Linked DNA regions of Drosophila melanogaster. The protein of the gene in region 3 interacts with the protein of the main gene of each other region in a pairwise test. Each region holds a gene or a part of one and is shown on either strand. Other genes may lie near its edges. The genes, in order: ND-13A, yin, Pect and Mlc-c.

Region 1 (6,496 bases), 8.1 Mb from region 3:
ATTGCAACGACTCCTGGAATCTCTGAACGACAAGGATGGTAAGTGGGGTAAACCAAAGTATTTTTATTCCCTTTTCGGGTTGTAAATTACAGTCCTAAAATTGACACATGCATTGCCCCTTTTTAAAGTTAATGATAGCATTAGCAATTCAAGCCATTAGTCGAAGAAAATCGATCTATATTAACAAATTATACTTGCTCGGTTCACTTGTTATTTGCTAAATGACACAAAACCAATAAGTAATTGCAGTAACCTGCATACACAACGTCTGAAAATATATGTACTTTCTTAGCTATAATTATTATATATTATTTCTATGTATTTATTTACTATATTTGACCTATGCAGATGGCTTTGAGCGCGACTTGAAGGAGGACTTCTTGAAGCCGGGCTTTGAGAGCAAGATTCTGAAGAAGTTTGAGCAGCAGAAGGATTTCTCTTTGGATACCGATTTGGATGGCGAGTAAGTAAACATACTAAATCAGCAAACGTGTTCACACTAAAGCATTCATTTCTTTTAGGATCTATGCCGACCAGCTGCACTCGCTCATCCAGCGTCTGAATCCGGGGGAGAATGTTGAGTCAGGCGACCAGGTGATTGGCAACATTTTGCCATCGAATCAGCATGGCTATCGCAAGGGCGTTCAGCGCGCCAAGCTTACGGATGAGGAGATCATCATGGGCCGGATTCATGGTACCATCTCCGCCGATGGGGAGAGCCAGTCGTATGCTCGTCCGCCGCGTCCGCCTAGGAACAACAAGCCGGACATCATGACGCCCATGACTCCGATGTTGCCGCGTAGTGGAATGTCTCCATTCGGAGGCGTATTCGACGGCAACTATCAGGTGGGAAAGATCTCATTCCCCCCTATAATAAACAGTCATTATATAAACTTTTCTGATAGGGTCCCAAGCTATTCAGCCAGAGCGTGATGACCAAGACTGTTCGCAAGCCGGATGGCAGCTATGAGACCACCAAGGTTACTCAGGATTCGTCTGGTCACAAGACCACCACCGTAACCCGGATGAAAGACGGGCGTAAAGAGACCATTGTCACCCACGATGACGGAGCTCCAACAGTTGGTATGGGTGGAAAGCAGCTGCAGCAGAAGGAGGAGGATTTGGCCGTAGCTCGTGGCGAACGCAACATATTCGTGACAAAAGAAGGCTACGCCATGCCACGGAACCTCTGGTGACCAGTGGTGAACAACTATTGCCCCAATCAAGATAAGCGATCTCTGCTGCAGCAACAGAAACAACAGCAACAGTACGAAGATAGGCTAAAGCGATTCGTCGGCAACATAGTCCCGCATCCACACAACATCCAAATTAGAACCTACTACATTTTAGTTTACATTCTCCTTAGTGTTTGGTGTTTTAGATGAAACGCACTTGAGACAACAGATGATGACGACGATGATTATTGACCATGATTTTATTGAACAGCGATCATTGATCCGCTGGGCATATATATTATGTGAGACTGGCGCACCACCCGGCGGCGCCGCACTTTCAGTTCCCAGATCCAGGGCACTCTGCAGGCCAAGCTCGAACTCCCGACGGTTGGAGATGGAATTGGTATCGGAGATGGCTCGTGTTGAGCGGTGTGAACGTATGATTCATTTCGGTTTTGTGAGCAGCAGGAGCAGGCCACACAGGAGCAGGAATGGTGGGTAGACTTTCGAGTCGTCCGCTCCAATTCTTCCCGCAGAGCGCTGGCTGGCATCCAAAGCAAAAAGCAACCAACAAACAATCGCCTAAGCGGCGGCAGTTATTGTATTATTGTATTGTTTTTTCGTGGTACTATCTGTGTCTCAATGCTGCGATCGTCAGCATCTAAAGTGCCCGTAGTGATTTAACAGCGAAAAATGATAAATTGAAACCACTATACAATACATTACCGCTTTACCAGGCAACAAACAAAGCAAGTTTATATACTATTTACTATTTACGATTGCGTTAACTTTGTTAGTTTTACTCAACATTTTATACACTTAAAACACAAAACACCCGCGCGGTGAATTGATCTGGCTTCTGCCCAAGCAGTCCCGAGTTCAACTCACAGTATTTTGAATTACAATTCGGTTTTTGTTTATTAGTTTTACTAAACTTTAAAGCTTAAGTTGATTTTGATCAGATTTAACTTTCTAAGAGGACACAATGCATGCACGCATTAGTAATCATTCAAGACACATGCAAATAAAGTGTTGTGCAATAAAAAAAGAGTTGACTTTCATTTCGGGAAAAGATTGCTTTTAGCTGATTTATCCATTGGGATAGAGTAATAATTATGGTACTCCTTCATATGATTAGCTTTTTGGTGTTCTAATTTTATTTAGTTTAGTTTAGTTCAAGCTAGCGCAACAGGATAGAAAGGTGTTTTAGCTAAAATCTATTGGCCACTATGGTTTCCTCAATGATGATGGTCATCTTTCTTGACGAAGCGCAGGCCGCAGTAGCCGCAGATGTGATTTCCGGGTTTGTCCTGCAAACAAAACATGATCCAATTAGTCAAGTGTATGCCTCTAATAGCCGCTCAAGACCTCACCAGGTTGATGTACACTTTGGGATGACCCAAAGGACCATCGCCGCCGTCGCAGAAGACAACTCGTTCGGTGCACTCCTTGGGTGGCACCTCCTCGATGAGCTTGATGCCCCAGTTCTCGTTCACATACCGCTTGGCGTTCACGAACCGGGCATTGCGGTAGTCCTCCTTATCGAACACCTGAAATATGTATTAATTTAGATATTTTCGTACATATTCCACAAAATGTTTGCGTAATCGCAGGATGATCGGGTCAACAGTTCCAATTTCTCTTACTTGTCCGGTGTGTGTAACCTTCTCGATGTCGCCGCGGCAGCTGGAGTGGCGAACGCTGGCCAGTGGGGACATCCAATTCTGTCGCGGAAGGCCGAGTTTGGACAAATTGTTTACCAATTGCTTGCTGGCCATTTTTTACCACAAAAATTTGTACGCAAAATGTATTCTGACACGAAACACCCTGTAACTGTCAGGCTGACAGCGTCAGCTGGCCTAACAGCAAGCTAACGGCGCAGATGTTAGTTTACATTTACCGATCAGCGGTCACACTGGTTATTTAAAAATAGCTTACTTATTTGACAGTTTCTTCAAAACAATTGGTCTATAATAAATTAAGAATAAATTAATAAAATTTTAGGGAATACTATTTATTAATTCAGTGAAATAATATTTAATATAGGTTGTTTGAGTTTTGTTACTCTCTTAACCGGTTTTTTGTAATTCAGAAGATGTTATAAATTGTACAAGTATTCTGTCAAAGTAGTGGCTCCATTTTAACAATTAACTTGATTTCAAAAAAAGCTAGCGTACAGACAAATAGTGCACTTACTTTTTTAGATTAAGTTTTTTAGGAGGCATAAATTTCTTTTTTTTACCTATTCTCTTTAGAATGCCAAAGTTTTTGCGCTACTTGATCGTTGTTGTTTAGAAAAAAGGGATGTAAACAAAAGACGAAGAAAGAGAAATGTTTTCCCTTGCGGCACGATTCACAAAAAGAAAAGCCGGCAAGAAATGCCGAGAGCCAAATGTTCGTTCGCATTTCCCGAAGCAGCCAGCATTTCGAAAATTTTCGAAATTTCCCCAAAGATCGGGGATGTGCCTCCTGGCGCTTGGGGAGGCAATTCAGTTAGTGTTTCGTGCTCGTCGAGTGTTGTTCTCGGTTCTTCCTCTACAACATCTAAAGTTTTTCATTGAAAAGTCTTCTTTCCGGCCATCCATGCATATATACACGCCTCTATATATACGCATATATAGAAATTGAAATTGGAATTGTTCGCGCTAAGAATACTGGCGTAAAATCAAAGCGAATTTACGGTGTGTAATGTTACAAATTAATTGCTGTGCCTGTGTACATTAGTACATCCCATTGAAAAAGCTTCGAAAAATACACAAATTTCCACGGATTACATAATCGGCAGTGAAGTGCTCGTTGGAGAAAAAAAACGTGTTTTTCCACGTTTTCCGGTGCGAGAGAAATGGAACGCAAAGAATATGGAATGTGTACTCCGGAATAATAGTGAACCATAATCGCCATAGAATGGATATAAAAGTGGGATACATCCCACCAAGCGGATGGCAATTAAAAGTGGTCCCAGAATAAAGTGAAGCATGCGAGGCTGCATCTTTTTTGCTCTCGCCATGGTTTCCTTCGATCCGAGCGAGCCGAAAGTTTAACGAACTGAGTTCATTTCTATTTTTGAATAATTCGAAAGCAACCGACAACCGCCGCCGCAAACGCAAAGTGAAAAGTCTGCATGAGTTTTCCCTCATCGCGGTGGTGCGATCGGGATTCTTGAATTGGGGGACGTGTGCTTTTTAAGTGTTGCCGATGGTGGACGACTGATCCACACCACACACCACCCAAAACGCCTACACTGTGCAGTTTTTGGTTTTCGTTTTGGAGAATCCATAAAGGCACTGAAATATTGAAAGCAGATGACAAACAAAATGTGCAAAAATGTTGGAAAATTTTCGGGAAAAAATTGACAGTAGTGATGACAGCAGATGAGCATTGAATTGCATTTTAGTTGCAAATTTTTATCTATTATTTCCAATATTTCATATGATTGCAGAATAGAACAGAAGTTAAATCTACTAATTTGACACAATTGACTTGTCAGACAATTATTTCAATTTTCCGCTCTGTACAGAATGTATTTCAAACTTAGCTAATTTCACTTTCCAATGCGAAATCAATGTTTTGAGACATTTTTCCAAGGTTTTCACACACTCTGCCAGGCATATATCATAGACTTATGAGGCCTTCAAACAATTTTGACAGCAGCTAATCCCCCAAAAATGCCCACTTTTCTGCTCTCCTTGCTCACTTTCGATCTTTAGCATAATGTAAATATGTATTGCTGAGTTTTGAACTATATATGTTTTCACTAATATATGTGACAACTAAATAAAATAAATGATTGCGCGCGTAAAAAACACTCCTTGGCGACTTGAAAGCCGCATATACTCACGTCAGTTCCATTTTTAAAGATTGTATAAATGTTTGGACCACTTCCGTTAGGATTCATATCTATATCTATGTATCTATATCCTATATCTGCGTAGTCTGGCGAAATTAGCTGACTACCCGTTTTCGTGAATAGGTCATGATTTATTTGTGTTTCTTTAGCTTATTTCAGTGACATAATTGGGTTGGATGTTCAGGTGATTGTTTTGGCTAATGAACAAATGATGATTTATGATTTTGGACAGCTACGTTGGGTAGTAAAAAATAGGTCAGCAGATTCTTTGTTAACTGTTACGTGGTTTGCAGTTCTTTATTACAAAATGCTTCTCTAAGAAAACCAAACTCTGCAAGTGTAGGACATTTAAAGCTTTAAACAAACTTAATGTGCAAAAGACAAATTTCCCATAATTTAATAAATTTATTTTAATATTAAATTCTATAGTAATATGTGTTAAATTCTTCCTTTGCCAGTGTAATATGTTAAATTAAATCCCATAGTCCCGTCCAAAAGTCTTTGTGAAACCATAGCCACACCGCTTGTAAAATCGAAATAAGCCCAAACCGAAAGATCTCGATCGTCTGACCCGTTTTGCTGCGAAAATGTCCGGGCAGCAACCGCCGCCGTACGGGAATGGACCACGTGGCTGGAATCCGCGTGCCCACAATCCCGCCTCGCCATCGCCCTCGTCCTTTCTGTACCGTCCACCATCGCCGTGGACAACGGCGCCCAGTCCGCCGCCGATAATCTCGGGACCCCGTCCCTACGGACACGCCATGTCGCCGGCGCCCATCAACCAGGTGAGGGGTCAGCGCGGCAGCACCAATATACCCCATCCGCGTCCCCAGTGGCCAGGTGGTAACCAATCACCGGCGCCATACCAGCAGCCAGCACCAGGTGCTGGTGGTGCATACTACGGCGGAATGGCGTCCAGTGGTGGCGCATCGCCGGCACCGCGTCCCTATCGGCCGGCTCCCCTGCAGCACCAGAACTCGTATGGCGCCCAGCCGACTAGCTCCTTCCAGCTGTCGCCGACGCCATCGCCCATCGTTTGCCAAACTCCAAGTTCGGACTTCAACTACAGCAATCGACAGACGCCACTGTCGCACCACCAGTACCAACAGCAACCACCGCAATTCTATCAGCAGCAGGGAGCGCCAGTGATCCCGCCGCAACCGAGACAACACGGAGGACAAGGAGGACATGGCGGGCACGGACTGGCCCAGGATCAGATCGATTTCGTGGGCGTGCCGCTGGAACCTCCGCAACCTAAATCCTATGTGATTTACGATGACGAAGAGGAGTTCGGTCCTTCGACAGCCGAGATTATAGCGAATCAATCGCAGGACTACATCGACGAGAAGCTTGCCGAATATCAGATGACGATATTGCAGTTGCAAGGTGAGTTGCGATATGATATGATACTCTATATAAGAAATTAACTTAGGAACAATTTTAGATTAATATATTTTCTACTTATACTTAAAAG
Region 2 (8,083 bases), on a different chromosome or scaffold from region 3:
TTCAACGGTCGCAACACTCGGGGTGACTTCTTCTGCAGCGGCAGCACTTGGACCGGAGCCATCGGGACTTGCAGGAGCTATTTCGGCCGCGGGAGAAGGCTCTGGTTCAGCCACAGGCTCAGCCGCTGGCTGTATTTCTGCGGACGAAAGAAGGATCCAGGTTAGTAATTCGAAATGCAATAATCGAAAACTTGGAGAGCCCACCCAGCAGGGGTACTTGCTCCGCCGGCAGCTCCATTTCATATGGCCACTGAGATTCGTTAGTGATCTGAGGATCGGCGACATTTCATCAGAAACCGAAACCGAGACTTGTGGCCTTGTGCTTGACACCTCCGCCACAGATAAGGACTGTTCTATATTTGAACGGGCCTTTACTTCAACGGCGGGCGTGTGAATTCGGTGGCCCGGCATAAATTATCCAGCCTTAGGCCCCGAGCTTTTACGAGGTTTACGCCAGTGGCGGGCGTCAGATAACCCAGCTAGGGAAGATAGCTCTCTCGGCGATCGCCTCCACACTTTGACAAACTGGCTGGGAGTATGGCTTTCCACGCCATAAACAACATGCTGATTACTGACAATGCTGCGTCTAAATGTCTGCTGGAGCTTTAATGGTCATGTCCATGTGGATCGAATGGTAATTGCAGCTGGTGCCTAGTGCAGCTAGTCATGGTCATGGCCATGTTCGGACAACTGGATCTGTATCTGTTCGATGGTTGATGATTCAGGAAGCGAACTGCGAACTGCGAAAGTCCCGAATGGCGACCAATGAATGGGCCTTATCTAACTGCGATCCAGAATCGGTTCGCAGCTAATCCATCGATGCTTTATCAGCGTTTATGACCGCTATTTGAGGCAGTAATGTATAGCAGCCATCACATGGCTCCATAAACCGTGGAAACAATGCTATTGCACGCACTACACTTCACATCAAACATCCATTAACATAAAGCGCCTTATCGCAGGGAAACAGAGATATACAAAATATACAAGTACCAGACGTGTACAGCATTGACCCGCTTCGGTGGCCGTTTGAAGTTGGTAGACCAGGCCTGCCACTCACATTCACACTCAAAACCACTCATTCATTCATTCATTTTGCAGCCGCTAATAGCGTAGTGTTTAGTGCCAGGGAACTGGCCAAGTGTCACCGAAGGACGGAAAATTGATCTCCAGACGGATCTCCACTCAATCCACTCGATTGGGCTCCATAAAAGCCGTAGACCAATCGGAGTCGCTGATACTCCGTAATTTTCAACAAGCTAATTGAAAAATGAGTACACTGAGGGCTTTACCTATAAATAATTAGATAAGCCTGGTATGCCCTGAGTGCAGTTGTAAAGTTTCGGAGGGAAAGTGCTGTGAAAGTGTTCTCAATTTCACTTTCTCAAGATTTCTTTACTTAAGCTCTAAGAGCCCTGGGACCTATAGATTGATTGATTGATTGATTGATTGATAGGTGGTTAGGATGTGCGTTGAACTATCGCTAACTGTGATATGCAGAGAAATTCTTCTGGAATTCGAGAACGGATGAACATAATTGGATTGGCTATATATAGTAGTGAGTGATTCTTTAATGACATTGCATATCGGCATTGATATCGCATAATCGTCGGTTTGTTCATCGATTGGCCATCAAATAGGTTGTAAATTTCACACCTACCCAATAACATACATAATCGCCATGAAGAGGGTCTAAAAGCATTCCAACTGATTTACAAGCGATTAGAACGAGCGCGATGTTTATTGGTCCAGCGAAATGATAAGCGCCGCAGGAGCTGGCGCTTTGGCCCAGTTTTAATTACAATTGCTTTTTACGGCGGCAAAGAAACAGAATTATTCAATGGAAGTTGTCAGATAGATAAGTTCGATGTTTTCGGTAGTGAGCAAAACTTTGATTGTCTTGTTCCGTTCGAAGCGGCAATTACGACCCCATATCGGCACCGCCCCATCCAATTCGACCGGGTTCTGCTCCGCATGGAGCAACCAAATACGAAATGGCAAATTCCAGGCGAACTACTCACTCACTAATTGCAAGCGGTTGCATTTACTACAGGCTCTCCCAGCGATTTGTCAGCAAGTGGTGTGTGTGTGTGTGTGTTTGGTATACCAAACGAAATCGTAATCGCAATTTTAGCCGCATTTGTTTTAAACACCCGCATTGGCAGTTTGCCTACGAATATGCAAATGAAGCCGGCGTCTGACATTGAAATGCAGGCGCACACAGTTGTACAAATTGGAAAATTTGCATCGGTGTAGGCAAGTCGAGTTATTTATTTTTTGAGATTTGAATAGGCAAGTATATAGGCAAGGTTGGTCCGTGCCAATTGACCAAGTTTGGCAGCTCTTTTTTGGGGACCGTCGAAAGTAAATCCACATTTGGACCTGCTCGTTGCTTGTGTTGGAGCCGCTCAAGTGGCTAAAACCCGGGGCCAGTCACTCAAAGTCCCTTATCAGAGCGATTAGATTTGCAAACTGCACACGCGGCCAAGAGAACCGATTATCGTAGTTGCGAACCTGGAGTTCTGAAAATCGTTCGTCCGTTGAGTCATAACTGGCAAGTGGAGATGTATTCCGCCAATTCTTATAACTTGCACGTTACCCAACGGCCACTGATTAAAACTGAAGGGTGAGGAGTATCGAAGTAAATAGGTGCAATAAACTAAATAAGAACACTATTGCAATCTATGGTGAGGTGTATTTTGTGTGGCTTATATAGCATGTCTAGAAATCGAAACAATGAGTAAAACTCGAGCCTCACAAAAATATGGGCCATAAATCTCGGTTCAGTAGTCTGTATAATCGCCACCCCTCTGTAAAAACTATAATTATGCATCTGTGGTTATTTTTAGTAATTAACAATACCATTTTTTTTATCCGTCATGTTGGGAACCCGGAGATCGCTTCACATCCGTTACGCGTCACTTGAAATCGAAGAAAAATATTAAATTTACTTTAAAAATCATTACGTTGTAGGAATGTGCATATGTATAAGATGCATAAACTCAACTTTCTTTTAATTTAACGAAAAATATATGCACATATATGTATATTACGTGTAAATTTTGTTTATTTTTTTCCAATAAGAGACAAAAGAGACAATAAAAGCAAAAAAGTACTGATCCTCGTCTGGAGTTCAATAAGCCCACAAATTGGCTATATTTAAGGGAAATTTCCAATTGCCACTGCGAAATAATTAATTAAACCAACAATATCGCAAATATATCTCATTCAGATTATTAATAGTTTTAATTGATTTTCTGTGTTGCAAATTGATTTTCAAACTGTATAAAAAAAGGAAGCTCTTTCTCTGGTAACTTTATCCTATTTTGCTGCATTGGCCTTTAAAAGGATTTTATTGTTTCGTAAGATCTTTTCATAATATAGACATCAGTGTTTTGATATTGCTTTTATTGTCTCTGGCGAAGCTTTCGGATCGTTATTGCTTTTATTGTTCCATTGCATTCGCGCACTCGTAACTCACATTAAAACATTTAACAACTGCAAAAAAAAAAAAATTGGAACGCACGTCGTTTCGGATGGGATCGGTTTTGAATCGGTTATGAATCGAGCAGGATTGAGCGACCACGTCCGCAAGCGGCGATCAACAGCCTCAGACTGAAGTCGACTGTGAACGAACTTAGCTAAGAAGCCGTTGACGGTTTCGCCGCTCGCCGCTTTGTCGCTTTGCCGCACTGCTCTGCCCGCTGCGACTGCGCGCTTGCTCGACGTCGAAGGATGGCGAAAGGCGTTAGAACGAGCGAGTAGTGGTGATAAGCCTAATCGCAATGTTATCGTATCGACAGGCAAGTGGAAGTATTTACGGCCCGGTGTTCGCTTACCCACAATGAATGGAGCCGCAGCTCGCAGCTCTCGCGATTGTTATTTATGGCCCACAACTACCCACCGGAATATCTGCTTGACATTTCACCCTTCCCCGCCCTTGGCCGCCTGTCAATTTACAGATCGCTGTCCATCACAATTGCTCCGCTTATCACACCTGCCACGCCCCGTCTGTCATCAGTCAGTGGGTGGGTGGTTGCTGTGTTGTGTATAGTGGGCGATGCAGATTGCGCACCATCATTAACTAAATATTTTCATCGCACCAAACGGTTATCTCTGGCCATTACTTGCACGTCTGAGGGATGGGAGCTTCCCAACTTTACCCACCGTAAGTCATGAATCGAAAAGTAGTTTAGTATATGGTCTAAAGATAATTATTTAAAGAGCTACTACGTCTATACGCTGATAAAAAAAAATCAACGCCAAAATAGAAGAGATAATGATGGCCAAGGAAATTTGTAGGGTAAGGAGATCGAGTCAGAATCTTCAATGGCTTGAACTGTGTGTTAATCGGGCAATTAATCATTATTAAATAGCCAAATGTCTTGCTGATATTGGTCGAAAAGTAACTAATCAGCCATTTAATTTTTAAGAAAGTACCCAAACAATTTTTAGAGCAACGCGTCCAGTGTTTAATACTAATGACTTGCATATTAACAAGCTACATGACTTTCTTTTTCAACGCTTTTCCGTGGGCAAACAAAGTTCATACGTATGTACATAACTTAAGACCGAAATGATTGGCAGTATTTTGGCAGCAATACAATAAATTAATTTAAGCTCCTTAAAATGATAGTAATAGGAAAATAAACTATTACAAATCTATTAAGTAGTTTTATGGCCGATAAAGTTATCACATCGGTAATAAGTTTTTGCGAAATAAACAGGCATTTCAAAAGACGTACGTACTTCATATCAGATTAGTCATAAGTATAAGTCATTCAAACGGTGGATAGGTTAATAAATACAACAATTATTTTTAATATTAAAAAGAAAACACCCTAAACTGGGCACGAACTACCAAATTATAGCGAAAAGATCACTTTTAAATGTCGAATTTTTGTCAAAAGTTATAATTCAGATTTCCGCCACCTTAAGAACAGTACTTTAAAAACAACATGGGAAATAGTTGGCCTTATTTGAAATACAATATCTCGTTGAACTCGTAATGAAATTTCTAATCCATAGGCATTCAAGGCCGGAAACTTTCGAAATTTGTAGATTTTCGCTGATCTTCATTATGTAACCCCTTATGAAGAAATGAGAAAATTTGAGGATACTTTACTGCGACGCCTTAAATAGGAAATCCATAATGTAACCTATACCATCTAACCCCGTTTGGCTCACCGCTTTTGATAGGCATCTAATCGGAGGTGGTCACAAAACTTTGTGGCATTTTTGTTTTATGAACTTAATCGCTGCGTCGATAGCTGCGAATAGTATTTATGGCCGCCTATCATTAATGCCATGCCCAGAAACAAGTATAATACATCTATTGGCCATAGCCAATCGGCCGATCTGCGATAGTCCGTAGCACGACATTGTTATTGTTATTGTTATTGTTAACCATTATTGCTCAACGAGAGGCCCTGACTGTGCGACAAGTGAACTTTTTGTTTTGCTTCTTGCTTTCGATTTTACGATTGTCACTTACTTGGCTACAGATTGCATGGTGTCTAGTCTTCATAATGCCAGCTATGCGATCGATTGAGTAACACTTAATTAAAGCCATCAAGGCATTGGGGGTCTGTGTGTCGATTGAGCGGGTTGCGTGTTGACACACTCAGACATCGAGTACTCGTATCCCCGGCCAGCTATTATGCATCCCGTATCCATGGATTGTGATGGCGTTGTATCTGGGCGAGAAACTCTTCGCTCAGCCTGGGGATTACAGTTAAGACCTTATCAATTAGCAAACTGGTGGTCAAGCGGCGATAGGGTATCTTCGATTAAATCGCACCTACCAACCTACCTAATAGGTGGGCCAATCGCACAACTCGGCACGCGGCTTACCGAATCGCACTTTGTGCCGATTAAGTAATCGGCCTGAAAAGGCGAAGCGAAAGCGAGATATAGACGATGTCCTTGCCTAAGATAGCCAGATAGTCAGATAGCCAATCGTACTCGTTTCTTAGGGCAGTGCTTCAAGGGGCTCCGATCTTCAGATATGGGTACTTATAGATCTCAAGATCTCGAAGGTCCGGAGTCCGATATCAATGATGATAGGCGATGAAGTGTTTGCCCAACTGATTAGATTTGTACATGAAAGATATAAAGACGTCATGTCAATTTCAAAATTACAATTATATTAAATATTATATTATAATACTATAAAGATCCCCCATAATTATTTATAATCTAAATAAATAATTTGTTATACTTAGGGTAATTGTCCGTTGCCTTAGCTGTCAGATATCCAGGCTACAGCTCAAGCATGCTTCATAGACAGCGGAATCCCGAATTCTCTAGCACAGCCACATCCATATCCAGCTCGAGCTTCGAATCCAGTCACCTGATGAGCAGCTCTGAATTCAGTCGCGGTAAGTGCATCACCAGTTTTCCAAAGACCACCCACATATATATGGACTTTCTGCAGCTTGGCACTTTGCCCGCTTTCGTGATAGGGATGATCGATTCCAGCACATCCACTTCGCCGAAGATGACCGCAACGGTTTCGAAACGGTGAGTCTGAGTGCTGGACTAAAATATAGTGCGAAATTGACAACCTTTCAGGCACATGTATCTATATATTTCCGGAACTGTGCAATCTTGTGGTATAGCGCGGCGTTTTCGTGAAAAACCTAAGCAATCTCGACGCGAAACAATAGCTAATGCGGACCATAAATATTTACAGCTGGATAGATTTATGGCTGCCTGGGAAAGTCCAACAAATTACTCAAAGCCGTAAAGAAAACAAACATAGATAACAGGCACTTGGCACTCGACCATTTTGCACGGCCGGGGGTTTAATCGCCAGATAGGGGATAGGAATATGATCGAGATAAGATCGATTCCGTACCTGCCAGCTCATTGGCACAGCTTAAAGAAAAGCGAGGGGATAACCACAAGATTCAGCGCAGATAACACAAGATAACGTTAAATCGCAAATAGGATATGGGTTTCTAGAACTATATTCTCTCTTTAAGAACGCCAAACGACAAACAGTTGCCACAACAATGGCTACAAGCTGGAATACTGTGGGTGCACGATAGGGATGCACATTCCACAAGCCTTCTGAAACAACAGGAAACACTGCTCGCACAAATTAGAAGGAATACAGCTGCTCCACGCCCGATTAGTGGACTCCCAGCGATAGTGCCCGTCGGTGGGCGGGGTGTCCACTAATTCAGCAAGTCGTCATTCCAACAGCATTGAACTTGACTGCCGCAGCTTTGCGCGAAAGAGAGGGCGGTGGGAACACCCCCACAGTAATAATAAGAGATCGCCGCTGCAGCTGCAATGATCTCTGCAGAGCGAGCTACACGGAAAGAAATATGTGGCTAACTTCTGTTGGCATTATACTTCGCTTTTTATTTAAACTGTTTGATGCTGTCGCTCTGGCTAAATAGGTTCACATATTGAATGTTATGTTTTGTAGATTACACACGCTTTTTTTTTAGTGTAGAGAGAACAGCTTGAAGCGAGAGCAGAGTTTATCTTGCTCTCGCTCTCGTACAGCCTCTCTCCACCACGCCCCCCCCCCCTACCAACCACCCCATCCACCTGTTTATCTAAAAATTTAATTTGATTTTTGTTCTTGCTCGAATTGTGTATTATTTCTTTTTTTTGGTTTTCGGTGTCGCGACTGCGCTGCCGACGTAGCCGCCGACTGAGAGTCAAGCTTAAAAGCGCAGCTTGCAAATGGACGGAGCATCATTTATTGTCGGCCAGCGACGGCGATCGTTTTATGGCGTCAACCTGTTGATCACCTCCCCCACAACCCCCTTTCATCAGTGTCTTTTTTATTGTAGTCCACTTCTGTACAACTTTTTTTGGCAACGCAAATCAGTGCAAAAACCTTTTGTGTCAAAACGTGTGCGTGTGTTTTCCGTTTCTCGATTTTCGGGGCACTTCGACAAAATTCCAAAGTGCCCAGCGCGATTAGGTGACTCTTGTTCGAGCTCATTAAAGCGCAATTAAGAGGTAGCCAAGAGGAGGCCAAGGCGAGCCAATGCCAAAATGGCAAGTGAAATAACTAACGGTAAAAACGGACAAAACGGTAAAAACGGACAAAAAGAGGAGT
Region 3 (10,955 bases):
CGTCTAAATTCGCAGCGGATGAACCCGCCGTTTGAGTAAGCGCGCTTCTCTCCAAGTCTGCTGTAGATGTTTCCTTGGTAAGGTTCCGCTGCTCGAAATTCGGTGAATCCGTGTTCTTTATGTCATCAACAACTGGCAGCACTATCTCTTCTTCCTCCGGCTGTTGATTATCCTGTAGCTCCTCTTCGGGTATCAATGTGGTGACAGAGGCTTTTTCCATGCCGACCACCTCGTAGCAATCGTCGTCATCATCATCTAGCACAATTGTCTCCTCGGTGGGCAGAATGTGCAAATAGCGACGATACACCGGCCGTTCCGCCGACTGAGAGCTGGCAAGCTCTTGAGTGGATTCGTCTGAGGTTTGCATGATTTCACGGCTGATCTTCTCCATATTCCGGACCAGTGCTTCACGGAATTCGGCAAAGTTAAGCTGTTTGAGTGATGCGGTAACAGCCTCATATTGCTTGAAGGCAGCTTCAAAGCCTTCCACATCCTCGACATCGGCCCACTCTTCCCTGGGTGCCGTTTCCCAGTTGGAGACTTTCTCGGCGGGACTCATCTGCGGCTGAGCCTGACAAATGCTTGCCAGTCTTCGATCCATAGCCTCTCCATGGAGCGTATTCTTCATCAGCGGCGGATACTTTCGCTTCAGTGGAGCCACTTTGGATGGAGAGCGGCCGCCCGTTAACTCATCCTCATAGTCGTAGTGGTCACTGGCGTTGGGCATGGAGGATGAGCTGACGGGAAATTCCGTGGGACTGCTGTGTTCGCGAAGCAACTTTCTTTGCGGATTATTTGGCAGCGGCTCCTGTCCCTCGAATGCTACAATGTCGATAGGCTGGGCTGGTTCTTCCTGGATGACTGCGTCCTCGCATTCTTCATCGTCGTGGTCCTCCAGTTCGTGATCATACACCTGACAAATATCTGGGCGTTCCTCCTCCATCGGTGTATCGTCTAAGAATGTGGCGTTTTCGTTTTCCTCCGGAGCCTCGTCGTCGACCAGATCCTGGTGCACTAAAGGCTGTTCTAGCGCTGCATCACTAAGGTACACATTGTTTCCAGCCGCCAATCGTGCCTCGGCCACACCCATATCCTCCACGACCTCCTCGATGTAGGCAGTCCCATTGAGACACTCATTCGCATCACTCTCCTCGGACAGCAAGCCCAGCAATGCACCGGTACCGTTTCCGGCCATCATGATGGCCCTGGCGAACTCCTGCTCGCATGCCACTCCCTGGGTAGCTACTATGATCTCACAGCAGTGTTCTTCTCCTAAAACGACCATGTTCTCTCCATCCACAGCCTCATAGATCACACACTGCTCCCCTTCTTCGGCCACCTGAAGTTCATGTTCAGCCTCATCATTCTCGTGGGACAGCATTTCGAACTGGTCAACATTGCCATTTGTCAGCAGCATGCCGGGGCTTAGTGCAATGCCCGGATCCTGGACAGATTCGGGTGAGTCTAAAAAACAAGAAAAGTATGCGATTGAGTGAGTTTACCATATTAGATATTTCATATTTTCAATTGGGATAAATGTTCATAATCAATTAAATGGAAGAGATTTCCTTGTATAGTTAATGGAACAGATTAACAAACCGTTGATCTCGATGACCTCGTGGCTGCTGTACGAACGTTTTGCCGGTGTGCAGGTGGCCCATACTGGGGCTTGGTGTGTCTCTTCGGTCATCATCATTTGCCGGCGAAGTCCGAATATTAAGGGTTCATTCTGAGGGACGAAACTGGAAGACGGCTGCTCCTCCGGCCAGCCCTTGAAGCCGCTGCCACTCGAGATAAAGCTGTGGGTGTCCGAGTCGTCGGAGATCACGTGCAGGTTGCTGTCCACGGCGGGGTCCAGATCTGCTCCCGTCCTCGAGGATCTGGTGACAGATGCAACAAGATCCGTGGGATACTCCCGATCCTCAGCCACGTCCGATGCGTCGCCTGGAGCTTCGCTGGCCGTATCTATCTCGTCGCCTTCCAGCGGCGAGTACCGGTTCAGTAGGTGTTCCTCCGCCGCTACGTAGGCCATCAGGCTGGCTTCTCTTCTGGACATCGCGTTGGTACGGGGAATGGGATTGGGATTATCTAGCCCTCGTCGACTCGTTTAGTAATTGTGGTAGGATTTCTTGTAAATTTAGCACGTGAAATTTAAAAAATATACTTGATGCTGTCTACAAAACAATGCCCGAACTGACTGTGGACGATCATGATTACATTATCATGGCTTGGTCGGTTTCCTTCGATTGTTATTTTTCGTATATCTGCGTGCTGTGCGTTGTATATTTCTTATTTGATAGGCTTAATATTTTAAGTTGCTTTATCCTGTGTGACCGTGGGAAACACCGTAGTATTATCTCACATCGCCATGGCCAATATGCCTCTTAAAATACCATCGGTATTATTTTTACAGTGGGATCAATCAATAAAATATACCTTTAAAATGAAAAAAAAAATTTTAATTGTGAATGTTATTAGTAGTGTTCGTTGTTTAATTCTATGACACTTTTTTTTTAATAATTGTTGTGACAATATTTACATTTATTTATAAACAAAACACTTTGTTATATCCTAAAATATTATACATTTCATTGGGGTGATCGACTCATAAGGATTTAATAGAGTTAATACCCTTTTAACGTATAATAATACAGATTTGTACTTGCTTAATATAAAAGTTCTAGCTTAGTAACATAAAATTTGCCAATTTAAAGTTATTCCCAATATATCTCGATCAGCTGTTGATGTTTACAAAATCCGCGTTAGCTGGTATTCATCGCACCAGGCATATGGTATATTTGGACAAACACCGATGCGGCCACTCTGCTCTCACGGTACTCGAAATTGTGAGAAAAGAAATGAAAGAATCTAAAAAAAAACCCAAGCTAAACACACCGCACTTACGCCCCAAAGAAGTTCCCATGCGCCCGCGCGCTGATAACGCAAGTCTGAGAATCTGAGACCAATTCCGCTCCGAGTCTGAACGTGAATCCGAGTCCGAAACCGATAACGAAAACTGAACTGAGTAGCTCGGTCGTGAAATGGGAATTGATATATAGCGGGCGTCGTCGTAGCTCAGAACAAATAACTTACAGCTCTCGAAGCGTGAACGTCGCTGTCGTCGAGTTTCCGCCTTCAAAACGAGCACTGAAAACAGAAACATACTCTCCGGAATCTAATGTTCGCCCGTTAGCCGGATTCTAAATTAAAATTAAATTAAATTGTGAAAATTCAATAAGTCAACGATGGAGGCAAATGGCGATACCAGCGCCTGCAATGGGTATTCGGACAAGCAGCGGAAGGATGTGCGCGTCTGGTGCGATGGATGGTGAGTCATCTACATTACATTTAGGGGCCTCCAGGAATTCGGTCCACAATGTCTAACGGTTCTTAGGGCAGCCCATTGCGTCACGTCGTTACTCACCGCTAACGGTAAAGTGAGTCAAAGCATAACCATTCCGCGTCGGTGCCATCGATTCCATGCCACACCACGGCCAACCGAACCCTACTATTTCAATTCCAATTTGGTTTCCAATACCAATAACCGTAATCAGTCGACGATAAACTAAACCCCATTTTTAGGCGTGCTAAGAAGCGTCCAGGGTTCCTCAATTGATTAGCAAATCTTTGTGAAACGGTGCCGTCTCGCTGCCCGTTCCAAATATCCACCCATTGCCGTCGTCCGGCTGAAATGTCTACATAATTCAGGTTCAAGGTCTCTCGGATCCGAAATGTCCATATTCTCCACGCTTGACCGGGACATTTGGCATTATATTTATATTTATACGCTATGCAATCTATTTATAATTGTACGCTTACAGTGGCTATTCTAAAACAGATTACTCAGAGAAAATGTTTAATTTGCCTTTTCCGGCGATACTCGCACTCTTTATGGCGCTTAAGCTAACAACAATACATATATCCCAAATTAGTTTGCACAATAATTAATTGCTATATGTGATAAACCGGGTGTTCGGTTCATCTAATGCATCTATGTATTTTAGATCCGCATATAGATACTATTGACGCACTTTGCCTTGTTTTGGGCACCATCAAATGGTTCTATAGGCATTGCGTTCCCCCATATATATATATATATATAATTATTTGATTCCGTGCAATGCATCATCAGAAACCGGTTTATCTTTATCGGTAATGACGCGTTAGACTGCGATATGGACGGATGGATAGATGGCCTACCATAACAAGTTTGCTTCATTGGGGGACGATAGAAATTTCCTCAATTGTGGCTACCGCCAGTCGGTAAAAATAAAAATATACCCATTGTTTATATGCGCCCTCGCTCTTTCTCTTATTTCCTTGTATTTCTACTCACCGTATAAACAATGGCACACGCCCAACAAGCAAATGTACATACATATATGTGCCATATACATGTGCTCTGGCTAACCCACTGTATCTGAACAGCCTGCCTTTCCTTCCGCTCTTCTGTTTTTGAGGCTTCAGATTTTCGGATGAGGGCTGCGTTTACGTGGCCCTTGTTGACTGTGGCTGCCCGCCGGTCGTCCGTCCGCAAACATCACGTGATTCTGGCATGCGCATGCCCTCCGCCTCGGCGATGGACCCCACACCCCTTTTGCACCACCATCATTGCCATTGCCTCGCCATTGACCCACAATGCTGTCGTCATCGTCTGGCGGTCTTTTGTGTGCCCAATTTAATTGGCATTTCGCTGGGCCTCTCCTGTACTGACTAAATAATCGCAAGGGATCGTCTTTATTTTAAAAGGGTTTTTTAAACCATATCCATTTATTATTAAGAGGTGGTTCAATCTTATAGTATACTTCTGCCTAAGCAAAAACATACATATGGCAAAACTTTTAGAATCCAATTGCGAATGCCCTGAAGCAAGATTAGAAAATGTCACCTAATTTATGGATTTAAACCTAAAACATATACATCATGCTCATTGGCATTTCCGGGTAATTTTGGCAGTCTATGCTCCCTTATGTCCATTGTCAACGGGTCACAGCTCCCTGTCACCAGTGTGGAAGTCCTCTAGCTGCGACAGATAAGAACGACCTACGTAGTCGTGCTCCAATCGCTGAAATTCCACATCAGCTGCTCATGGGCACGAACAACAAGTATAAACATAATATTTGCGTGGAATCTGATGGAATCTGATAACCCATCAGATGGGGAAAGCACGTATGTATGTGGGGCACTTGGACCCAAAAATCATTCTAATCAGCAGAGATTGATCATTGACGCAGGCACAAGTGCTTGGCTTGTCTCCTCCTTTCCACCCAAGTCAATGAACCTCTGCCAGTGGAAATAACAAATGAATGGGAAGCTCTCGTAATAAGAGAGTCCGGGGCCTTAAGGCGGGGCATATATGTACATGTGTGCTGTAGTATAAGATCTATGTATATGGCATACTTTACCCCACCAAGTCAATCCACTTTACTAGGCTCTGGGGTCCGGACGACAGAGCACAAATTCTACGGAGAATCGCGTGATATTTTTTAATCAGCAAACGGGCGTCGGCGTTGCTGTCGCTGGTGTTGTCGCTGCTTTTAGCTCACTCAATTGATTAAGCGGCCCCTGGGTCTGTTCTACATATAGAGTACAACAATGCTAATATGGGTATAGTATGTTCGGCACAGATTTCTTGGTGCGCTGCAAAAAAATCTCCGGGAGCAAAGGTTTCGCTTCGATTAATGAATGGCCCACGTTTTTACTAGCTGCTTTTTATGGTGGTGGTCATCTCTCCGCATTTGTTACTATCTGGGCAAGTCAAGGGACTAGCTGGCATAATCCATCTTTTATTTTTAGGCGTGCATGCAGGGGCATTGCATTTCATTTAAATTTCATTTCAGTTAAAGATCCAGTTTGTTTTGAGTACAACTATTTTCTTGGGAATTCTCTAATCTTCAATGGAAGCAGTACTTAAAATACTTTCCGTCTATCTATTTCAAATGAACTCCTCACAATCGATTACCGAAGAAACCGTCGATGGTGACGGTATTATTTCTTATCACCCGCCATTTAGTTAAGTGGTTACCTTTTGCATGTTATGTTAAAAAATGTTTGCACAAAGCCCGCTGGGTGAATCATTTTCCAAAAGAGCAGGTTTCAATATGAATTATTTTATAAATACTTACAATTACAATGTACCTATGGTGGAAAAAATAAATACCTTCATAATTGGTGTTAAGTGCAATTTGTGCAACGCCTCACGTCCCCCGGATGCTATTATCGCTTTCCCAAGCCAAACAAAAACCAGGCCAGGGCACGTGTGCCTATAACCATAATGCCTAGAATCGGCGGAGAATGTAAACAAGCTGAATGGCGATGTTTGCGTATATGTGGCCACTGAAAAGCTGACGCAGCAGCGTTCATAATTGCAATTAGAATTGCAAAACAACGAGCAGCAAATGCGGTTTTATTGATATCCCCTGTCCCGGTTGCTTCATCCATCTCTCTCTCGGCATTTTTGGCATACCCACTCTGATGATCGAGTCCAAAGATCAATCTCTTGACCAATGCTGGGCAAAAGTGGAGCACACAAACCGCCTCTATAGTCACCGGTGGTCAGTCCGTCAGCTACTGGTCATTAAAAGCACTCGACCAGACATCTTTGACGCGCTTCGACAGCGGTTTATGTAAACTATGTAAATGGCTTGCTCGAACCACTTTATTACTTTATCGTCTGGGGGTCATTAGCAGTACTGCTTCGACCTAGCTTCCACCATTAACTAAATGACCAGGATTCCAGCTGAGCGTCAAGACAAGTGGTTTTTTTTTGTTGGGCCTAAGGTTCATTATACGTATGTATGTATGCACATTCCATGCGATAATTGTTTTTTTTTTTTTTTTTTTTTTTTGGCAAGTCTCGAAGTTAAACACGGCTTATCTTGCGAGCTTGAAAAATTGCTAATTTTATGAAATATATGCCATTTTCTGAGTCATATTGGTAGAGGCAAGATCGTTTCCATTAGCTATTTGTCAAGGTCTCGCGGCAATCGTTGCAGTCTTAGTTATCTTAGAATTTATTAAACTTCCACGAATGGCAGACAACATTTCCGGAGGTAACTAATAAGGTCATGTTTGCTTGTTCACTGGCACGCGCTTGATAAAAAAAAAAAAAAACAATGTATCTATTCTTGTACTGACATATCTATCCTCCTTCCATCCTCAACAGCTATGATATGGTACACTTCGGACATGCCAATTCTCTGCGACAAGCCAAGGCTCTTGGCGATAAGGTAATTGTGGGCATTCACACCGACGAGGAGATCACCAAGCACAAGGGACCACCGGTCTTCACCGAGGAGGAGCGCGTCAAGATGGTCAAGGGCATCAAATGGGTGGATGAGGTGGTGCTCGGTGCTCCGTATGTGACCACACTGGATGTGCTCGACCAGAACAACTGTGATTTCTGTGTGCATGGAGGTGGGTAACAAATTTATGCATATATCTGGATGTTACTCAATCGAGTGTATTTGTTTGCAGATGACATTACAATGACAGCCGAAGGAGTGGACACATATCATTTGGTCAAATCAGCCAATCGCTACAAGTGAGTTTGAAAAGATATATTTTTAAGACATGTGGCAGTTTATTAAAAAGGGAATGCACACACACTTACCTTATGTACATCTTGCCTTAACCTTTAATAAGCTGCCAGTTGTCTTGTAAAGCACGTACTGCACATTTTTCCAATTACTGACCTTAAATTTTCTTATGCAATCCGCAGGGAAGTGAAACGCACAGCTGGAGTCTCGACCACTGACCTTGTGGGCCGCATGTTGCTCCTGACACGCAACCACTTCCGTCAAGGATCCGCGGAATATGATATCGAGAAAGAAGGTAGCTTTAGCTTGTTCCAACGCTTTTCTGGCACATTTTATTTTCATTTTAATGTTCCTAAATCACAGCGAGCACTGTGAATTTGTGCGCCAAATTCATTGTTTCTAACCATTACTAACTTTAATTTTAAGACTACTTTTTGTTTGCACTCTTTTTGTCTTTCATTTCCTGCTGTCGAACTTGTTTATTGCTCTTGCATGCTGTGCATAAATCAAAGTCGATCAATCAGTTACAAGTATGAACAATATTATACAGATATATTCAGTTTATACATGGGCTACGCACGATTAGTTTATGCATTTTCCCCAATAGATTCTTTTTAATTTGCCATAGTTGAACGCAAATAACGCCTTGGTTTATGGTTGCCCTCTACAACTTTACTATTTCTCTTCTTTTTATTTCTATGTACGCACTGTTAACCACTATCAAAAATATAATATAATGTATGAAACCTATGAAAACTATGCTAAATGTTTTGTGCGTGTGCGCGCCCGCGAAATGAATCCAAATGCCGAATGCCCAATGACCAACCTGCAATCAAAATATCCAAATCCGAATCCAAATCGAAATCAAATCCTAAACGTAAATTTTTGCTCTTAAATACACACTTTTGCTCATTTGTCTGCGTTGCTTTACAATACAAAACAAACAAAAAAAGTGTCAATTTTAAAACGACAAATAAAATCCCATCCAGGTTCTTCGAACATGGGTCAAGATTCGGCAGCCAAAAGTCCGTGGACCGGTTGTAGTCAGTTCTTGCCGACTACCCAAAAGATCATACAGTTCAGTGATGGAAAGTCACCGAATCCCGGCGATAAGATTGTAAGTTTAGCCCTCATTATATGTATATAATGTATAATTCATAATTGTCGGTATTTGCAGGTTTATGTGGCTGGCGCCTTCGATCTCTTCCATGTGGGTCACCTGGACTTTCTGGAAAAGGCTAAGAAACTGGGTGACTATCTGATTGTTGGCCTGCACACAGATCCCGTGGTGAACTCCTACAAGGGCAGCAACTATCCCATTATGAATCTGCACGAGCGCGTGCTCAGTGTTTTGGCCTGCAAGGTAGGATTGCAATAGATTCTTTTTTTTAAATATTATCTCATTTTAAAACTTCTTTTTTCCCCCAGTTTGTCAATGAGGTAGTAATCGGAGCTCCCTACTGTGTCACTGAAGAGCTGCTTGAGCACTTCAAAATCGATGTTGTCTGTCATGGACGCACACCCATTGCGCTTGAGAATGGCAAGATCGATCCATATGCCGTTCCCAAGACGCGAGCCATCTTTGAGCTGATCGATTCCGGCAACGAGATGACCACGGAGCGCATCGTGGAGCGCATCATCTCGCACCGACTGGAATATGAGCGTCGCAATCAGGCCAAAGAAAAGAAGGAAATCGAAGCCTTTGAGGCACTTCAACGCCAAAAACAGACCCAAAAGGCCGGCTAGCCGGAACCAGATTCCGACCTCTCACACTAGACGGATGTTTTTTATTTTCTAGTTGCGTTCTTTTAGTTTGTTTTATTTAGTTTGTCTTGTTTAGTATGTCGTCCCCTGATGATGGCGCTTTAATTTTTTGTTGCGTAAAAAGCGAAGCGACGCTGCCTGAGGATTCAGCGCACCGCTCTCTCGATTTCTAGTACAATTTTAGAATATCTGCACATGCGCCTTAATGATATAAGGTTATACACATAATTATATATTTCTAACACATTAACGTAGAATATTTAAAATCTAAATTTTATGTATGTAAGCTCAAAATTTGTAAATTCCCTTTAAAGTACGATGTAAGTGTGAGGAACAACAAAATTGTACGAATAGCATGTTATCCAAACTGTTGCCGAATTGAAAAGCCTTGTACGACTTGTATGTATATATATTCAGCAACGGAAGTAGGATGCCTGGATCAGGAAGTAGCTGCTTTTATCAAATGTAATCTCTGATACTTTGTCCTAATTTATTAATGCATATAGTAAGTGCGAGTTCAAGTTTTATGTTTCCTTGTTTAATCTTAGACTTAAATACATGGCCAAAAATATTGCGAATTCCAAAAAAAAAAAAAACCGGAAGTTTTATATACTTGCCTCGCTAATCACTTTCAGTTCGACGGTTAGCGATTGCTGCCAAACATCTAAATCCATTAGTGGCCGGAGGTCATTCAAGCTGATGAGGATCACGTTGCTGTCGGTCTTGATGAACTCACTGCAGGATTGGTTCGACGACAGTGGCAGCATTGGACGAGCTTTTATCTGTCTGGTGTAGTAACGTGGCAGGTTGGCAGGTTGGACCAGCAGGCGCAGAGTGATGGCCACGCCGTGCAAAGGAGTAGCCACCCAGATGGCCAGGACTTCGTGTTTGACACGCTTCCTTTCCCACAGCACCGAGTGCATGGTGCGGCAGGCGAAGATCATAAGGGCGCTATGCTGCGAGAAGCGGCGGTACTCCACTGGCAGATGGGTGTTTCGGTGACATTTCAGAGGATTAAGGCCAGTGCGCCGATAGCCATAGACCCCCAGCAGGGTGTTGACATCTCTTTCCAGGCTACTAATATGACATGTTAGTGACACTCGCTTGCCCATTTCCAGTTCATAAAACGGAACTCCCATTCCCGGCAGATGGTCACTCAAATAGTGACCCAACAGAGCGCTGGGGTCAACCGAGCATAGGCATCCGTGACATGGGCATGCCACCAGGCGCAGTCGGCTCCACGGCGAATCGCTAGATGTGGTCGCAGTGCTCTTCCTGCTGCTGGACGGCTGCTCGGTCAGCGATTCGAAGTTCTGCAGTTTGAGGAGCAGCTGATCCTCGGGAGCTGGCGCGGCCACCGATGCCGGCAGTCTGTAGTTGGAAAAGTGTTTCGTGTACAGCAAATCTTGCATTTCCTGCAGGCGCTGCTTTCGCCTCTCCTGACGCTTTCGATTCCGGCTCAATCCATGGATGGGAGATTGATCTTTGCCGGAATCGGCGGCCTGGTTGGTACGCGAGGTAAATGGCGCAGTCATTGTGGTAGGTAATCAGGCTTGCCAAAACGACATAATTTTGATAAGAAACTAGACAGATAGACAGATACTAGCAACTTTTGAAAGTCTACTGTGTTGACAAGTAGATCCTTTTGATTTT
Region 4 (6,731 bases), on a different chromosome or scaffold from region 3:
TGGTGGCTGTTCCATTTTGCCGACTGCTTTCGTACGCTTCTTGGGCCGCTGCAGGCGCGGATCCACTACAAGGTGGGCCATCACCAGATTGGACAGCAGTTCGGCGGGCGAGCTCAGCTGCAAGGCTGCCTGACAGTAGTTGGCTTTATCCTGGAGCTCCTCTTCTCGATGCGGACGTAAGCTGGCAAAAAGAACTTTTTGGGCTCTAGGCCCTGTCAAACGGAAACGATTAAACTCCCGCTGCAGCAGTACCAAGTGGAGAGTGCCGTCGGAATTGAAGTAGCTAGGCTGTGGATCGAATGCTTTCGTTTTTGTCCAGAAGCGCAGGGGCCTCTGTTCAGGCTTCTTCTTCGAGTTTTTCTTGCCAGGCGATGTTTCCTTGGACAACTCGACTGGCTCAATCTTATCCACATCCATCTTTTCCTCAGTCACAGCCTCGTTTAAAGGCAGCTTTTGTTGCCTTGTGGATTTCAGCTGGAACACGCTTATAAGCTGATTTAGAACAGCTTGAGCGCCACTGGGATGTAGCCACAGCCAGAGCGTGTGATTCGTCTGTTTCTCATCCTCCTCCTCCCGCCGTGGCCGCCACATAAAACTGGCCCGCTGCAGGGCTCCATACGGATAGCGGCCATCCTCAAATAACTCCACGCTGCCCTCACGTCGTCCGCTCAGAAAAGTCCGGGCCGTGATCCCAAGGCCACACTGCGGACTTGTTAGCCGGGCGAATCCCTCGCGTAGCATGTCCAAGGGTCCCCGCAACTCCACGCAACCATAGAACGAGATGTCCTGCAGCAGGCAGTGCTCGGCGCTGGCGCGATAGCAAGCGCGGTAGGTCTTGTCGCAGCTGGCGTAGGGCAACCGGTGGCCCCAGCGGTCAACCATGTGGAATCGCTTCGCGTGCCAGATGTGCGTCTCCAGCCAGACGTGCCGCCTCTGCCGGCGCACGTACTCACGCATCAGATTCTTGGGTCTCCGGCGGTACTTCCTCGATGGTCGTTTCCCATTCACCGGCTGGTTGCCGCTTTTGCCCATTTGGGACTTGTGCGCCTGTCGGTACTTGCGCGGCAGTCGCTTGGGATGGTGCGACATGGCGCGGCGGCGCATGTGCTTGGGCAGCGTCTGGAAGATTAGCTTGCTGCTCCGCTGCGTCGTCTCCTGGCAGTCGGCCACCAAATTGCGAATCTCCTGCAGCGCCTCGGCCGCATAATGGTACGTGGTCACGTGCGACGGCAGTGTGACCCGGCCGCCCAACGCAGCGTCGTACTCCACCTTCTGTGTGCTCATCGGGGACTAACTAATTTGGCCAGGATCCAATGCATCCAAAATCAAAACAAATCGGCGGCACGTGTGGCGGTTTCTTGTGAAACGATCTGGCAGCACTGCTCGATTTCACTAAACTCCCTGCACTCATCGATGTTGTCGCACCTATCGAATTTCGAGTGGCCTATCGATTGCGCCCACTATCGGCGACCACTAACACCAACAACGTTTCAGAATTTGCTTGCGTTTTGTTTCGACGTCGAATTCAATATTCAATATTTCGTGTATTTTGTGTTGTTTTCCCTCAGATAGCTAAAAACAAATCGATATGGTGAGTGCAGGCTGTTTATTGCGGCGCTGTTTACTGTTTACGATCGCACTGGAAGTGCGCTTTCCGGCGCCTTTGGAAGCCAGCACTCAAGTTTCCTTCATTGTTTTCCTTTCTTTCCCCTCTCTCTCTCCCCGCAGGCAGCTTATACCGAGGATCAGTTGGCTGGTGAGTTGAATCGCACGAGGACCAGACGGGGTCAAGTACCAGGAGTCAAAAGTCGGGCAAATCGCATATATATATATATACAGATATATATATGTGTATAGTATTGATATGTGCGCTGGCACCTAGCGCCCTCTCCCTCCCACTCCCACACAGCATTGGAATGCGGGAAAGCGATGGCACGTACATTTGTGTGGTGTGCATGAATCATTGATAAAGCAAATACGCTGGAAGGCAGACGGCAGCCATACGAATACGATCGTGACTCACCTAAAAAGCGGCGAGAAAGTCCCAAAACCGAAACACTGCAATACCCTGTCCAAAATGCTTTAATTAAGAGCAGCTGTAGGCAAAGTTTGACGTGATGACTTCGAAAGACATCCGAGATCAAGCTGACAACACATATCGAAACTGTGCTACTTTTGGGCTTTGATCAGCAGATTATGTTCGTCCAAGGAATAGCTTCATAGAATAGCGACACACGGCTGTGTACCAAGTTTCGCATTAATATCTCTTGATAAATCCGAGTTCTTTCGGTTATCCGAAACCCACACCAAGTTAATTGATAATATGCATAGCAGGCAACAAACTTATTCGACCATCAGCTAGTTAGTTTCTGCCAACAAGCTAGTGCTAGTCTTAAGCTAGTGTAAACCAAGTTTGTAGGTCATCATAAGAGCAGTTATTGTAAGACAGAAACTGGTCGCTTATAATCATAACCAACACCTCGGTATGAGTACAAAAAAAAAAAAAAAACACTGTTTAAGCGAAAGGAAGTGAGCGATAAAATATAGATAACAGAGCGGTCTAATGGGATAATCACCCGGTTTTCTGACTCGCCGGCTGCTCGTTTCAAATAAAACTGCAATTGCAGTTGCAAAAACCGAATAGCCATGCGATAAGAAGCCAGTCAGTTGACAAAAAAAAAAAAAACCAGCTTCCATTTACGGAACATCACCTTCTCTCTAAGTAAAAATGCAACACGATTTCGATTCCATGGCGAATCAAATCGAATCGAATCTTTACGCAATCCCCTCGTTTAACCTAATCAAAGTCAATGGTCTCTGATAATTCCGTCATGCTGGATTCGTGACACTCTGACGTCAGCGTTCAACCGCATATGCCTATGTACGAGCCATATACCATATATTTATTTTCCAATTCCAACTTACCTTGTTGCAATCTTTAGCCAGCCGTCGACGTTTTGTCATTGCCTAAAATGGACAAAAATGTGCTGGATTCGTTTGTTTTTATTGCCATTTTTGGATCTCGTATTCGCATGATAACCGAACACATCCCAGCAATTCATCGAATGGTGAACACTCTAGTGCTCAGATCTTTAGAGGATCTGAAAACAAAATATTGAGCCCAACCACAATGTTCTATTTACGCACGTAGATCGCAGAACTTTTGCAGCTTGGTTAACTTACACCATCACTTGCTTAAATCCAACTGCACGCGAAATGGACTTGCGATGTCACGCCTCGAAACGAAAAACTTTGAAACTTAGGATTTCTGGGTTGTTTATCTTACTTGCAAGCAGGCAGTTCCCGGTAGAGAAACGAAGTTTGCCAGCGACGTGAGGGTATACCATGGCCAAGGAAGGCGGAGTGGTGGCTTGCATCGGAGCCGATCCGATCCGCTTCGATCCGATGGCCAGCCAAATCCGGGCAGGCGGAGTTTCAGGCAGTCAGTAGCTGGCAAAACGGTCATCGGAGTGGTTCAATATGTATTACTATACGGCGCATGTGAAGCAAACCTTTACCACACTGGAAGGTGATCCATTTAGCCATTTAGTGGGTGGTAGAAAGCTATAGTTCCCCCTCACATTTCCATACGTTTATATGTAGTAGTTATGTAGGTATTATATATTATATCCCTTATCGAAGGGTTCTTGTAAGTTGTAACGATAATAATTAAGATTTGTAAAGCATCTGCCAACAATCAGCACGCACTTTCCATTCGCAGAATTCCAGGAGGCCTTCAACCTGTTCGACAACCGCGGAGATGGCAAAATTCAGCTGAGCCAGGTGGGCGAGTGTCTGAGGGCCCTGGGCCAGAACCCCACCGAGTCGGATGTCAAGAAGTGCACCCACCAGCTGAAGCCCGACGAGCGCATCTCGTTCGAGGTGTTCCTGCCCATCTATCAGGCGATCTCCAAGGCCCGCTCGGGCGATACGGCTGATGATTTCATCGAAGGACTGCGTCACTTCGACAAGGACGCCAGCGGTTATATCTCCTCCGCCGAGCTGCGCCACCTGCTGACCACGCTGGGCGAGAAGCTCACCGACGAGGAGGTCGAGCAGCTGCTGGCCAACATGGAGGACCAGCAGGGCAACATCAACTACGAGGAGTTCGTGCGCATGGTCATGAGCGGTTAGGATCAGACCGATTCTAGCTGTTCAACTGTCCAGCGACACGACAATAGAAGCAACGCTATATCCAACACAATACAACACACCAACACTAAACACACCTGCCAAGCTACACATAGATGAGCCGTTCATTCCGCCAGAAGTTCCAACTCCGTGATTCCAACTTAGCCATTCTTACCCCGGCATTAAAGCATTCAAAACCAAGGACAACGACCAAGGATATCGAGATATAACAAATACAGGGGAAAGTGCTTAACACAAGCAGCTAATAACTGAAAACTAAAAACTAAAACTACGAGATTGGAGCTATTCCCACTTCCAAAATTAACCAACGATGTAGACATAGATTCATGATTAACCATAACTAATTACCGCGTCTGTGAATGTGCGTATTATTCTAAAATTGACACTAGAAGGTTAATCAGTAATTATCAACTAGTGCAGTCGTTCTTTTGTACCAATCACACTCGATACATTTATATATATATATATATGAATTACCATAGTATACTTCAATGGAAGGAAGGAAAGCCAGAGTATCACGAAAAAGTATTTCTAAATTAAAGCTGATATGCGTCGGTGGCGTGTGTCCGTATTTAAATGCGCATTTTGAAGTTTTACATGTTTATTTTTTTTTAAATAATTTAATATTTGTATTTAATAAATAATGAAATGAGATCCAATGAATGTGTAGGTCTTTTTACAAAAGAAACGTACTTAAACTATTAAACCAATTGAAACCTTAGCTCTTGTTTTTATTTCTTGTTGAAAGCGGATGGCAATCAAATAAATGGCTGCTTAAAATTACGACTGATGCAAATTTTTGAAATATTTAGGAAACTTAACTGAAATTAAGCAAATTGTTTGTGGTATTTTTTGCGAGCTCTTGTGCTCTGAGCTTTCGGACATTTTTAAACTGATTATTAAGTGAGAACCACTGCATACTACAGTATTTACAAAACAATATAATGTAGTTTAGCTATCAATAAATTCAATAAGCTTACTATAAAGTTTATCTAAAGTTATAGTCATTTAAATTTAGTATTCTTCCGACTTTAATACCGCGCTAATTTTCGCCAGTCTGGCAGCTCTGCTCGCTCGGACAAAATTATTTGTATACTTTACTTAATTGGCTGCATTCCTTAATTATTCGCCGCCTACTTAGTGGCTTTTGACCAAGTGGCCTGCTAATCCGAGGGAGGATGCCCCGGAACACGGAGGCGGGCGCCGGAAATGCGAATACCGGTGGATCCGGCGGAGTAGGCGGTGCCCCCGAGCCCAGTTCTCCGGTTCAGAAGGTTTGGAAGCCGGAATGTGAGTGGAGAAGCACCTCGTATGCCACCCACAAGCTTATGATATGACTAACCATCCCCTTACCCATTTACCCGCCCACGCACAGTGTACAAACTGCAGCTGGAGGCACCGGCTCCATGTCCACTGCGCTGCCAGCGAACACTGCCCCTTCCGCCGGCGAAAAGCACGGCTGAGGCCGTGGAGGCCAATAACTTGGCGGGCAGGCTATACGGCTCCGAGTACCATGGCCTGATGGGCCACCTGGAGGCGGAGCAGCTGCTGGCCAATGCCCGCGACGGCAGCTACTTTGTACGCCGGAGCCCCCAATCCGATGGCTACTACACGCTTAGCCTGCGCTTCAACAAGCGACCCAAGCACTACAAGCTCCTCTATAAGCCCGGCGTGGGACACTATCTGCGCGGCCAGGACAAGCGCTTCGACACGGTGCACGACATGGTCGCCGACGGGCTGATCAACTTTCACATGCAGCTCCACGCCAGTCCCATCATCCAGCAGATTAACCAGCAGACCAAGAACTGCTACCAGCAAAGCCCATACATGACCTTAAATGGCCGGAAACTTAGGGCTCTGTCCAATGAGCTGGGCAAGGCCGCCGCCAAGGAATCGAAGGAATCGCCAGCCGAGGAGAAGGAGCAGAAGCAGGAGGAGCCACCGCCTCCAGCCGTGGATCCCATGCCGCTGGTCTACGAGAAGCCGCATCACTTCAAGGTGTGTGTTCAGACATAAGAAGCCAACTATAAAGGATCATAGCATCTAATGGAAGATTCTGATCCAAACAGGTGCACACGTTTAAGGGGCTCAATTGGTGCGAGTTCTGCGCCAACTTCTTGTGGGGATTCACCGCCCAGGGCGTCAAGTGTGAGGCGTGCGGCTTTGTGGCGCACAGCAAGTGCTCCGAACTGGTGCCGCCCAAGTGTGTGCCGGATCTGAAGCGCATACGCGGCGTATTTGGCACGGATCTGACCACGATGGTGCAGCTGGAGCCCCACCACCAGATACCCTTCGTGGTGCGCCGCTGCGTGGAGGAGGTGGAGGCCCGGGGCATGCTGCAGGAGGGTATCTATCGGGTCTCCGGCTTTGCCGATGAGATCGAGGCACTCAAACTCGCCCTGGATCGCGAGGGCGAGAAGACGGACATGTCGGAGACGGCGTATGGCAATGTGAATGTGATCGCCGGCACACTGAAGCTCTACCTGCGCCTACTGCCCGTGCCGCTCATCACATTCCAGGCGTATCCCAGCTTTATGGCAGCAGGACGTGAGTTTTATGGTGCTATGCTGCACCTCATC

Evidence for each region.
Region 1: the proteins of Pect (region 3) and ND-13A interact in a two-hybrid assay, tested with the Drosophila melanogaster proteins (one large-scale study listed by BioGRID).
Region 2: the proteins of Pect (region 3) and yin interact in a two-hybrid assay, tested with the Drosophila melanogaster proteins (one large-scale study listed by BioGRID).
Region 4: the proteins of Pect (region 3) and Mlc-c interact in a two-hybrid assay, tested with the Drosophila melanogaster proteins (one large-scale study listed by BioGRID).

The regions. Positions count from the first base shown.
Region 1 is NT_033779.5:5,097,189-5,103,684, forward strand, and holds ND-13A (NADH dehydrogenase (ubiquinone) 13 kDa A subunit), read right to left. Parts: upstream 3,015-6,496; 5' UTR 2,954-3,014; coding exon 2,822-2,953; intron 2,726-2,821; coding exon 2,549-2,725; intron 2,486-2,548; coding exon 2,414-2,485; 3' UTR 1,989-2,413; downstream 1-1,988. Other genes in the region: CG4230 (uncharacterized protein), read left to right, coding at 1-47, 349-463, 522-846, 906-1,196.
Region 2 is NC_004354.4:3,867,956-3,876,038, reverse strand, and holds the start of yin (yin), read left to right. Parts: upstream 1-4,099; 5' UTR 4,100-4,168; intron 4,169-5,494; exon of another isoform or gene 5,495-5,721; intron 5,722-5,812; exon of another isoform or gene 5,813-6,086; intron 6,087-6,220; exon of another isoform or gene 6,221-6,224; 5' UTR 6,225-6,274; coding exon 6,275-6,380; exon of another isoform or gene 6,381-6,436; coding exon 6,437-6,522; exon of another isoform or gene 6,523-6,540; intron 6,541-6,859; exon of another isoform or gene 6,860-7,066; intron 7,067-7,707; exon of another isoform or gene 7,708-8,019; coding exon of another isoform or gene 8,020-8,083. Other genes in the region: CG2930 (uncharacterized protein), read right to left, coding at 1-137, 205-238. UniProt on the Drosophila melanogaster protein: Important role in absorption of dietary peptides. High-affinity transporter of alanylalanine. Dipeptide transport activity is proton dependent.
Region 3 is NT_033779.5:13,200,945-13,211,899, forward strand, and holds Pect (phosphoethanolamine cytidylyltransferase), read left to right. Parts: upstream 1-2,817; 5' UTR 2,818-3,245; coding exon 3,246-3,328; intron 3,329-7,165; coding exon 7,166-7,416; intron 7,417-7,476; coding exon 7,477-7,543; intron 7,544-7,720; coding exon 7,721-7,833; intron 7,834-8,491; coding exon 8,492-8,655; intron 8,656-8,715; coding exon 8,716-8,901; intron 8,902-8,966; coding exon 8,967-9,284; 3' UTR 9,285-9,884; downstream 9,885-10,955. Other genes in the region: CG16972 (uncharacterized protein), read right to left, coding at 1-1,464, 1,600-2,056; CG15482 (uncharacterized protein), read right to left, coding at 9,908-10,837.
Region 4 is NC_004354.4:5,617,277-5,624,007, reverse strand, and holds Mlc-c (myosin light chain cytoplasmic), read left to right. Parts: upstream 1-3,432; 5' UTR 3,433-3,480; coding exon 3,481-3,529; intron 3,530-3,721; coding exon 3,722-4,134; 3' UTR 4,135-4,872; downstream 4,873-6,731. Other genes in the region: POP1 ribonuclease P/MRP subunit, read right to left, coding at 1-1,284; RhoGAP5A (Rho GTPase activating protein at 5A), read left to right, coding at 5,331-5,442, 5,528-6,150, 6,222-6,699.